Linked DNA regions of Mus musculus. The protein of the gene in region 3 purifies or fractionates together with the protein of the main gene of each other region. This does not show direct contact. Links are inferred from orthologs where the notes say so. Each region holds a gene or a part of one and is shown on either strand. Other genes may lie near its edges.

Region 1 (3,748 bases), on a different chromosome or scaffold from region 3:
AGTTCTCATAGGGGTCACACCATAATAAGATCTTTATATTGCATTGTATCTTCCTGTTATTGGCCGCCCAAAGATGCTACATGAAAGAAAACATTGTTCTTTACCTTCCCTTAGGGTTTCCAGTTGGTACTTTATAGATTCAGGAAGAAAGAGTATGTCTTCAGAGAGCAACTTGAGGATCCTAAATGTGATTTGAGTAGTTTCGAATGTCTGCTGTTTATACGGACTGAAATGTAAGGGGCAACTCCCAATCTCCGGTACAGCTATTTCACTGTGGGACTTTTCAGCCACCTTGAGCATGGAGACCACACCCTAGATACTTGGGGACACCTGGAAGGTGAGTAAATAATTCTTCCGAAGTCACTCAGAAGAACCTCAGCAGGAAAGCTATTATTCTGATTGCATTTTTATTTGGATGTGTTCTAAACTTTGGTTTGTTTCTGTTGTTTTTTTAAAAAATGTAAATCGCATTGGAATCAAATGACAAAACATCAAAAAAGGGTAACAAAAATGTAAATAGAAAATAAGACAATAAGTCTGTTGAGTATTTAAAAACATTTATTAAAAAAACTGTGTGTGTGAGTGTGTGTGTTGATGTAGGCCTGATGAAGGTATTGGATTCCTTTTACTAGAGTTACAGGTGGTTTGTGAGCCACGAAATGTGGGTGCTGAGAACTGGCTTTTGTGACCTAAGCAAGATCAGTGAGCACCTTAATCAGTGTGCTAGCTCTTCAGTACAATGACCTTTTTTTAAAAAAAGAAAAATCTTTTGTAGGAAAAAGGTTTAATTTTTACATTATACAAAAAAGCCCCATTATTCTACAAAAACTAAAATGACAGTCTATTTTGTAAAACGGAAGTTGTAAAAGTTAACACTTATGCTTAAAGTGCCAAAAATCAAATGTCAGCACTCTTATTCCTAAAAAAAAAAATCAAGGAAAAGAGGAAAGCCTAATGCGCAGGCACCAACATTTCTCAGACAACAGATTCTCAGCTATGGTTCATAACAAAGAAGAAACCTCTCCGAAGAAAATGATAACCCAAGAAATAAGTTTTCTTCACCCAGCTGCAAAGTTTACCAGACAAGTTAGACTCTCCTACTTCCTGGAGGAGCTGAACTTGATTGCTCTGGTTTTGCCCGTAATCCAGTACAGGCCTTTCAGTGCCTCTCAAAGCTGCTCTTTATCCTCGGTTCCCTTAGTTTAAAAGATTCCTCACCCTCTCTTTCCCTTTGCCCCTCCTCTTGCTTACTTGATCTCTTCCCCTCCCCCACTTCCTAATCAGTCCTCCCGTCTCCCCTTTTCTCAGACTGGCTGGCTTTCCCTCCACACTTCTTCCCTCCCTCCTCCTTCTCCTCCTCCTCCTCCTCCTCCTCCCGGGCTCTTTCTTTCCTCTCCAGTCCCCTCCCCCAGCATGCCTCCCGGCGTGCTTCCCTTCCCCCGGCCTCGCGGTCCCGCACCCTCCCCTCCCCCGCCTCCTGCCTTGTGACACATCCTGGGCCCTCCCGGAGGCCGTAGCGGCGGCGCGGCGGCATTGCTGGCCACCACCTCCTCCCTAGCCGCAGCCCAGCTCAACCCGCGGCCCGCCGCGCTGTCGCTGCAGTCATGGCTGCTGACGGGGTGGACGAACGTTCGCCTCTGCTGTCAGCATCCCATTCGGGAAATGTCACTCCCACAGCCCCGCCGTACTTGCAGGAAAGCAGCCCCAGAGGTAAGGCCGGCATAGACCTTTCTGCTTCTCGCAGAAACGTCTGGAAGGATGGAAGGATGAATGCCGGGGAGCTCTAGCGCGGAGGCGGAGGAGAGCTTCTCCCTTGGGCTGGGGGAAAAGGATGCCTTCCCAGGCTCTGCCTGCCTACCCGAAAGCCTGTCTGCAGGGCTTCGCTGCTGCTGCTTGTGGTGTGGAGTGTGTGCTTGAACACTTCCTTCCCAGCTTCAGGATCGGACATGAATTTTCCCAAGCTCCGAGCTGCTGTTTCCAAAGCAGCCCCTAAGTGCAGCTGGGCGGTGGTGCAGATCCTTCAGTCATTCACAAGTGCTTTCGGTTGCTGAAAAACACGGGGCACTGCTCACCCTGGCATCTGCCCTTGAGAGGACTTCAGCAGGAAACATCTTAGTCCCTTACACTCGGCCCCGGAGTGCAAGCAGGGAACTGCCTAACCAGAAGCAACAGAGTTTATCCCTAATATGTCCGAAATTCCTAAGCTACGGGCATTGCTGCCTGTAAGGAGTGTGTTTCATAGCTTCAGTGGTGAATGAAGAGCCTTCCGTTAGGAAGGAGGAATTTTTTAAATGCATGTCTGGGTGAGGTTGAAATTAACTTCTAAAAAGTTCCCCAAGTTTATACCGTATATATTTTTAGTTTTGTTTTTCAGTGTAGAATTAAAAAGGGATTTGGAGAAATGGTGTGGTGAAGGAGAAGTCTCTTTACCAAAGGATTCGATTTATTCAAGCACTGTCTTTGTTCAAAGTCTTTGGGAGTGTTTACTACGGTAGTCTGGAAGGCAAGCCTTACAGAGATCATTAAATATGGCACGTGCAAGCGTACCTTACTTCATCTTGCTCTTTTGGCTGGATGTGAATGAAGTTTAAAACCCAAGGAGGCCAAAGTTAATAGTGTTTTGGGAATATAAGCAGGTCACGTGTCTTGTAACACAACTTCTAAGTTCATGTCTGAAATGGGGCAGGGGGGGGCGCGGGGGGGGGCGGGAAACACTACAACAGGTTGAAGTTGTCTGGCATTTAACATTTCTTTTTAACATTTTATAACTTGAAAATCAACATTCTGGGTCTCAATCTATAAACAGAAGCAGAACAAAGGAAAACTGTGGTTAGCTGGGAGTAATTCAGAGTGATTGACAGCCTGAGAGGAAAGGGGCAAAGTCCAAGGGAACTGACACACAGAAAACGTACAAGTGACCCTTGTTGGCCAGAAGTCGGGGGATTTCCCTTACTGGCCATTTGATATTAATATTGTACTATCTAATCCTTAGTCACAGGTTCCTGAATGAGTGTTTCAGTTTTATTAATTTTTGTCTATGGAATAAAATTGATGATTTATTAAGGGACTGAGTTTGGACTGAAGTAATGGAAATACCTTTTCCTTATTTTAGTCAATCTGTGTTTAGGACAAACACACACACACACACACACATATATATATGTATATATATATATGGACCTGCATAGACTTCATTGTTCTCTATAGATTTCCTTAATTTGATCAGATTCCTCAAACTACAAAGAGAGTGGCATTTCCAATCAAGCACTGAAAAGAAGTCATTTTACTCTAAAGATCTCTTAACTTAAAGATCTTTTAACTCCTTTGGCCTAAGAGTACAATAATTTTTTTTTTGGAAACGATGGAGATATTTAAAACACTAATATATGGGATAACATCTATGAAGGAAGAAACGTAAATGAGAAGCAAAGTCATTTTTTTTAAGATTTATTTATTTATTATATGTAAGTACACTGTAGCTGTCTTCAGACACTCCAGAAGAGGGCGTCAGATCATGTTACAGATGGTTGTGAGCCACCATGTGGTTGCTGGGATTTGAACTTTGGACCTTCGGAAGAGCATTTGGGTGCTCTTACCCACTGAGCCATTTCACCAGCCCAAGCAAAGTCATTTTATTCGCATGATGACAGTATCTTTTCTTGATTACTAACAACTATTTGAGTAATACACACGTTCTAAATCTTGGACACTGTCCCATTCATTCATTCATTCATTCATTCATTCAGGA
Region 2 (3,748 bases), on a different chromosome or scaffold from region 3:
GCAGGAGAATATTGGAGTGCTACTTACAGTCAGCACCAGAATTCTCACCTTTGGGAGAAAACATTATAGACCATTATAGAAAACATTACAGGAAAGATGAGATGTAGTTCCAATGTTCTTAAGGGAGCTTCTAATCTATCAGGATTTCTCATGAAGAATCCACCTGTCATTCTAAAGTTTGACTGGGTCTCCTCTTGGTTCAGTGCCTATTTCTGGCTTCATCAACTTACTGCAGTATATATTTTTTAAAGGTATAGTTATTGTGAGATGGAATGCTTATCTTGGCGTTTACATTGTGATAAAGATGAAAGACAGCTTTCCCCTCTCACGATAGAAATCCAACCGACTGACAGATGCTAAAGGACTTATGCCTGATTGCTTGGGATCACAGCCTTTGGTTATGTCTGGTGTACACAGTGAGCTCAGCCTTTAGTTTAGTGCCTGCTGTACACAAGGTTCATTGGTCAGCTGAACAAATGTACCTGATTGGCAACCTTGCATTAGAGTTAAAGTCTATTTGGACACATCAAGAACAACGGGATATAGTAATGATTTTTTTTTCCCTCCAAAACCTGCTAGTGCTAGGATACAATTTTTTCTTCTGGGCCCTAACAGGAATCTCAGCATAATTCTATCGTGATAACTTTCTTTTGAAATTATTAAAAAGTCTGTAGTGAAGTGTGAAGTATGTGAAGAAAACTATAAGGTTAATACGGATGGAAATCGTATTATCAGAAATGCTAGAAAGATCAAAGAACGTTGTTAGTTAAAGCAACTGAGTCCAGCTTCTCTAGTATCTATCTGTGCCGGCTGCTAGGTTGCTTAGCAACTCCGCAACGCTTCCTCATCCGCCCGGACCTTGAGTCCCGGCCCCAGTTCCGCCGCCACGTCCGGCTTCGACTCAGTCCCTACTTCCGCCGTAACCAGCCAGTGGGGACCTAGCGGCCGCTCTGTTTGACATCCCTTATATTGCCTGACTAAAAATGTGTCAGTGAACTACCAAAAGTAGAAACATATCCTCTCTCTACCATTTACACTTCAACTTGATACAGACACACTCAGAATGAAATGTCTAACTGTGGGCTATCGGCCTTCTGTAGCCTGTGAGCTCCGACACAATTTTCAGGCGCTGTGTGGATAGCCGCGCTGGAGGGCGACGTGGGCCGCGAAGGCCCCCGCTGCCGGCCATCAAGGAAGCGCGGCGGGCGGCTGGGCGCGGTGTGTGTCAGGCGGTTCCACCATGTAAGTATCCGTCCCTGTGTCCCGGCCTTAACCCCGTGGCCGGTCCCGACCGTAACGCCTTCTCGTTCTCTCCGGCAGGTCGAAGGTGTCCTTTAAAATCACGTTGACGTCGGACCCGCGGCTGCCGTACAAAGTGTGAGTGACAGGCAGGGCTGGAGCTGGCCGGGCCTGGCGGGACAGAGGGGGACAGGAGGAAGGGTGCGGCATTTCTGCTGAAAGCCAGTGGCCCCTCGCAACGCTCTGGGTGGGCAGGTGCAACGGGAAGAAGGTTGGACGAGGATGGAACCCGTTTACTTGATTTAAAGGTCTTTACCTGGACCAGCTGTTACCGGAAGTTAGGGAGGACTTCCCAAGTCTGGACTTTTGACAGGTCCGACCCGAACACTCTTAACTTCAGTTTTTTTGCTTTGTTGTGTATAAACACAACGACTGGGTGCCTAGGTGCTGAACTCCCAGTCACACACACTTGGATCTTTATAAAAAGTGCTTAGCGGGATTGGGAAATGGGGGTGTAGGACCTTGTGTCCTTGTTGGGCCCTTCCTTGTGCTTCAGCAGTTCAGTTGATGGCTAACACAGGTTACCCAGCTCCATCTTAGTATGATTTTTAAGTTGACCCCTTTTGAGTTCCTGCAGCTGGAAGACCTATGCTAACCTGCGACAGACCAGGGTTTCCATAGATTTCATTCATGACGGGTTTGGTGGCACCAAGGCCCAGCTAACTGAGCTGAGAGCAGCTGTCATCGTTTTCTGAAGTTTCCCACCCGTGATCCATTCAGCCTCGTGGCCTGTGGTTCCCTTATCTTTCCATGTCTAAAATGGTCTACGTATCCCTCGTCTCTCCCGTAAGGGCTCATTCTAAACGGTTGTCTTCAGATGGCTGTATTCTCTTCCTCTGGATGATGTACCGCAGTGTGCCTTCAACAATAAAAGTTAAAAGTTTTCTGTCACTTTTGCCTCCCTAGTGCCATACCCACTCATTTCGTGTGCAGACGAAAGTCTGTAGTCTAGGTTTTTTTTGTTGTTTTTTGTTTTTTTTTTTTAAAGATCGTTTCTTTGCTAACTCCCAGGAATCTGATAGCCACCTCTCTGATAGCTTGGAATATTTTGCTTGGTGAAAAACCAAATTTATGTTCTCTGCACTTAACTCTGTTCCTGAAGAAATTACAATAGTGCTGATGAGTTTTATGTGAAACCCTCATAACTGGCACTCGACTGTGCTCCCCTAAATTTTCTCATTTTCCTATCCACAGAAAGTATTTTTGTCTTATTTCAAAATTTCCACAGCTCCTTTTCCCACCATTCAAAAGAAATCAGAGGGGACGCCTCTCACTTTTATGGAATGCCCGTAAACATCTCCCATGCCTTTACAAGAAAGCACATAGCTACTGTTGGGAAAGCCCCTTTCTACAGTCTTCCTGCTTTGTTCTACTGAGGATTAGGTTATTAATTAACATTTGGAAGGAAAAATGCTAGCACAAAAAATTCATCTGCGCTTCTGAGAAGAGAAATCCAGGCTTAGCCCTACAAATGTTATATGACATCGATGTTTTATGTGTTGACAAATAGAAACGTTTTCTCTGCTAGAGAGGTGTCTGGTTTTTGTACTTAATTAACACTGCCTTTAACATTTTTATTTTAAAACGTTAGACGAGAAGCAATAAAATAGACCAAGGCTATAGAAAAGTTGGCCTTGCTGACAGATCTCCTCCTGGGCATACTAGCACACCTATAATCCCAGCATTTGTGAGGCAAAGGCAAGCTAATTCTCTGGGTTGGAGGCTAGCGTCTTAAAGACACAGTGTCTTTAAGAAGAGAGAGAGAGGGTTCATCTAAGTGTCTGTCTGCCCATGGTCTGCACTTTTACCAACCTGGGTGGAGCCATGGCTTGGTGGTTTATTATATGGAAGTCTATAACATTTGTCTTCACAAACTAGAAGAGGATGTCAGATCTCATTACAGATGGTTGTGAGCCACCATGTGGTTGCTGGGATTTGAACTCAAGACCTTTGGAAGAGCAGTCAGTGTTCTTACCCGCTGAGCCATCTCACCAGCCAGGTGAGATGGTTTGTTAAGAGCACAGCTACTTTTGCAGAGGACCCAGGTTCAATTCCTAGCACCCACATTCCTAGCTCACAACTGGCAATGACTCCAGTTCCTAAGGATCTGATGCCCTCTTCTGGCTTCTATCAGCCCCTCTACACATGTGTACACACAGAAGCAGGCACATATACACATAACATACAATAAGCCTAAACACATGGAAACATGAAAAGAAAGAGAAGGTGGAGCTCTGCTTGCAGGGTGTTGGTTTTTGCACAGAGCTGTGGTTCCTTGCCTGGACTCTGCTTTTCTAGTGTTTTTTCAACGTCAGTGCACAAATGCTGCCTTGAAAACAGACACCCTTCACAGCCCCAAACAAATGTTCCCTATCTGCAATGAAATGAACTGTGTGAAATTCTTCTTTTCTTGTTGCAGTCTCAGTGTTCCTGAAAGTACGCCGTTCAC
Region 3 (3,748 bases):
CAGCCTCCTCCCGGGTCACTGCCTTAAACCTTTTACTGTATAGAGGTGGGTCTGAGGTCAGCTATAGGTGGGAGACCTGTGTAGTGTCCTCTTGAGATCCCTCGTGAAACAAGGGACCTTGCACTTCACTTTGTCTTGGACCACGTATATTTTGCCGGTCTCCCCTGCTTGTCTTTCCCTGAACCACTCTTGCAGCTGTAGTTTTAAAGTTTGTGCAGTCTCTTCCATCAGAAACAGCCTTTCCACTCCACCAGGAACACCCGCCATCATCCTTCCTTCTGCAACTTTTTTTTTTTTTTTTTTTTTTTTTTTTGGCTTTTCGAGACAGGGTTTCTCTGTATAGCCCTGGCTGTCCTGGAACTCACTTTGTAGATCAGGCTGGCCTCGAACTCAGAAATCCGCCTGCCTCTGCCTCCCTGCTGGGATTAAAGGCGTGTGCCACCACGCAACTTTTTGTTTACTATTCAATGAGTGTTGCTTCCTCTCCCTTCCCTGTCCCAGTCGTCCAACAAGAATCGGGTGCTCAAAAATCGTATTTATCATAAATGGGAGGACAAAATGTGACGAGAGCCTCAAGAGACCTGTGACCTTCTATATGTGGTAAAGGGAGAAAATGGTGGGAAGAAAGTATTTTTTTTAACTACTTTCGAAACGCCATCGGGAAGGTGCTAGGACCTGTTCCGCGCATGTGTTCGTTCTCTAGCTGGGGGCTCCGCGCCAGGCTGATGAAAAAGCAGCCTAAAACGGCTCTTGGGTGCCCCCTACCGCCATCGTGCAAGTGTAACATCCCTTCCTGGAGATCACCCGGCCGGAGCCCGCCTCTCGCCTTCCATTGGCTGTCAGCTATTCTCCCGCCCCTCCGGTACTCAACCAATCAGAACATCGTGATGGGCGGGGCTTTCAGCAGAGGGGCGGAGCGTGGTCTTGGATTGGCTCCGCTGAAGACGGCGACGTGGCTGAAGGAGGCCGGTTTGTTTCGGAACTGAGGCTCAAGCACAGCCGCTCAGGATTGGTGCTAGGCTGGGCCGGGGTCTTTGGCCGGAAGCGGAAGTGGAGAAAGGATGCAGGTGTGGGGACCAGGGCTGGAGAAACTGGGTCTTCTCTGGGATTCCTGTCCTGCCTCCTCAAGTCCTCCCGTCCTCTGTCGGGTGCTCTGCCCCTGCAGGGTGGCGGTTGGACTCGTGGAATGAGCGCGCGCGAGGCGCATCGCCTTCCCGCGTTCACGCCCTCCCTCCCGGTCGTATTTCCCACCAGGACCATCAGCACGTGCCCATCGACATCCAGACCAGCAAGCTGCTCGGTAGGAGAGGGCGCCCCCGCGCGGTCGGCTCTCGGGGGAGGTCTGCTAGTTGCCCCCTGTCACCAACCAGCAGCCAGGAGCTGTGAAAGTCCCAGCTGAGGTGCTTTACTCCAGCGAACTGTTTGCTCTGCAAGGAAGGAAGCATGGAAAGTCTGTACTGGCTCCGTGTTTTCTACTTTTAACGTTTCTCACGTAGTATCAAATCGTATTCAGGCACACAGGACAAATGGATAGTGTTAAAGATGGACAGTTAAGCAAATGGCTGATCCATTTGAAACCTAAGTCTGTTTGGTTCTGTCTTCATGCATTTTGCATTATTTGGGGTGGGTAATCCTCTCCCATCTATTTAAAAAGTTTCTCTCCTTGGATTTAGGGAGAAGAGGGCCCTAAGACTCACATACAGACCTTTTATGCCAACCATGGTGGTTCACACTGGTAACCATAATACTTGGGAGGCCGAGGCAGGAGGATTGGTGGCAGTTCTCAGACAGCCTGGCTTGCATAGCAAGTACCAGCCTAGTACTCCCCGCCCCCCACCCCCACCCCCCCAAAAAACCTTTAGTCTTAGCACTCAGAAGGCAGAGGCAGGCCTTGGCCACATAGCAAGCACCAGGGCAGCCAGGACTACATGGAGAGACACTATTTCAAAAGAAAATGACAGAGAGACAAGAAGACCTTTTAGTGACCAGGCAGTCTCTGCATCTGGCTTACATCCCTCATTCTGTCACTTCTGGGGGTGTGTACAGCCCCTGGCCCTTGTGTTCACCAGATACGCCAGTCCACTGGTAACACGTCCTTAAGAGGGTGTTTGCCGACCTCAGCCCCTGGAGGAATTCTGGTGTCTGCTGTTTTCCTTTCTGACAACTTGAGAAGAACTCAGAGTCAGAATTTCTGATACTGTTGTTGCTTGAGAGAAATTAAGCGGTTGAAAGATTTGTTTTAAAGGAGAGGGAGTATTCAGTCCTTTGATGGACACTGGTGAGTCCTCCCAAGTGCCTGCCAGGCACGGGCCACCATGTATTCATAGTGTATGGGCACCCGCTGCATCTACCTGGGTGTGCCAGTTTGTCCTCGAGTCCTGAGAAGAACCAGTAGGACACCGCTCACCATGGAGCATTTGTTCCATCCCCGCTGCTATTTTATACTTGTCTTTGTTAAGATGAAATCACTAAGGTTTTGTGAGCCACTGCGAGGCACAAGGCTCGGTGCATAGGGCCTCATCTGATGTGTGGGGAAACTGAGGTACAGAGAGATGGAAAGGAACTGAGAGCCAGCAGGATGGCTCAGTAGGTAAATGTTCTTACCGGCAAGTCTGATGACCTGAGGTCAGCATCAGGACCCCTGTGATGGAAGGAGAGGCTTAGATCTCAAAAGTTGTCGTCTGACCTCCACTTGTGAGCTGTGGCACATGTGCATACATACATTTATGTGCATACAGAGTAAATAAAGTTAAAAACAGACGAGCGGGGCTGGTGAGATGGCTCAGTGGGTAAGAGCACCCGACTGCTCTTCCAAAGGTCCGGAGTTCAAATCCCAGCAACCACATGGTGGCTCACAACCATCTGTAACAAGATCTGACTCCACTCTTCTGGAGTGTCTGAAGACAGCTACAGTGTACTTACATATAATAAATAAATAAATCTTTAAAAAAAAAAAAAACAGACGAGCGACTAGGTTGGGCCATGATAGTGCACACCTTTAATCCCAGCACTGGGGAAACAGGCTTTCTGTGAGTTCGAGGACAACCTGGTCTATGTAGTGAATTCCAGAGGGCAACCTGGTCTACATAGTGAATTCCAGAACAGCCAGGGCTATGTAGAAAGAACCTGCCTTAAATAAATAAATAAATAAATAAATAAACCGTCAGCACCCTCCAGCCTTCGGGGCGCGGTAGGTGTTAGGGGCTTTGCAGTTGTTCGTTCATCCGGTACTTGGCATAACCACCTTGTGTTTTCCATTGTGGCGGTTAATCCCAGCCCCGAGGAAATGGAAGTTGAGCAGCACCCTCTGTCAACACGAAAGATATAATTACACACAGAAGCAAAATATTATGGAGACTTTAGAATGGTCAAAAGTGGCACTTTCATGTTGGGACCAATTTAAAGTTTTCCTTTATCCCTGTGTTAAGGCGGTTGCTCTGTAAAACTCATACGGGGATAAAGCCGGGGCGCCAGGGACTGTTTAGCCCAAGCGACTCTCTGCGTCTGTCTGTCTTTTCATCTCTTCCCATTCCTCTCTCTTAGCTAATACAAAGACTTTTGTTCAATATCCAGTATGTGGCACTTGAACCAGTGAATTCCCAGTGGGCAGTTAGTGGTATGGCGGGCTGTGGTGACCGGCTGGTTCTCGTGCAGACTGGCTGGTGGACAGAAGACACTGTAACCTAAAATGGCAGAGCCTGGTGCTGACCATCCGGGAAAAAATCAACACTGCCATCCAGGACATGCC

The links. The genes of interacting proteins can lie anywhere in the genome.
Region 1: the proteins of Cdk5rap3 (region 3) and Pip4p2 purify together in Homo sapiens (affinity purification with mass spectrometry; 3 studies listed by BioGRID and IntAct, counting the BioPlex papers as one, with this or other methods). This does not show direct contact. The link is inferred for Mus musculus from reciprocal best matches to the Homo sapiens genes CDK5RAP3 and PIP4P2.
Region 2: the proteins of Cdk5rap3 (region 3) and Ufm1 purify together in Homo sapiens (co-immunoprecipitation; 3 studies listed by BioGRID and IntAct, with this or other methods). This does not show direct contact. The link is inferred for Mus musculus from reciprocal best matches to the Homo sapiens genes CDK5RAP3 and UFM1.

What each region holds. Positions count from the first base shown.
Region 1 is NC_000070.6:14,862,728-14,866,475, forward strand, and holds the start of Pip4p2 (type 2 phosphatidylinositol 4,5-bisphosphate 4-phosphatase), read left to right. Parts: upstream 1-1,491; 5' UTR 1,492-1,604; coding exon 1,605-1,710; intron 1,711-3,748. UniProt on the Homo sapiens protein: Catalyzes the hydrolysis of phosphatidylinositol-4,5-bisphosphate (PtdIns-4,5-P2) to phosphatidylinositol-4-phosphate (PtdIns-4-P).
Region 2 is NC_000069.6:53,861,243-53,864,990, reverse strand, and holds the start of Ufm1 (ubiquitin-fold modifier 1), read left to right. Parts: upstream 1-1,183; 5' UTR 1,184-1,240; coding exon 1,241-1,242; intron 1,243-1,320; coding exon 1,321-1,377; intron 1,378-3,718; coding exon 3,719-3,748. UniProt on the Homo sapiens protein: Ubiquitin-like modifier which can be covalently attached via an isopeptide bond to lysine residues of substrate proteins as a monomer or a lysine-linked polymer.
Region 3 is NC_000077.6:96,913,703-96,917,450, reverse strand, and holds the start of Cdk5rap3 (CDK5 regulatory subunit-associated protein 3), read left to right. Parts: upstream 1-936; 5' UTR 937-1,061; coding exon 1,062-1,067; exon of another isoform or gene 1,068-1,254; coding exon 1,255-1,300; exon of another isoform or gene 1,301-1,400; intron 1,401-3,573; exon of another isoform or gene 3,574-3,654; coding exon 3,655-3,748. UniProt on the Homo sapiens protein: Substrate adapter of E3 ligase complexes mediating ufmylation, the covalent attachment of the ubiquitin-like modifier UFM1 to substrate proteins, and which is involved in various processes, such as ribosome recycling and reticulophagy (also called ER-phagy).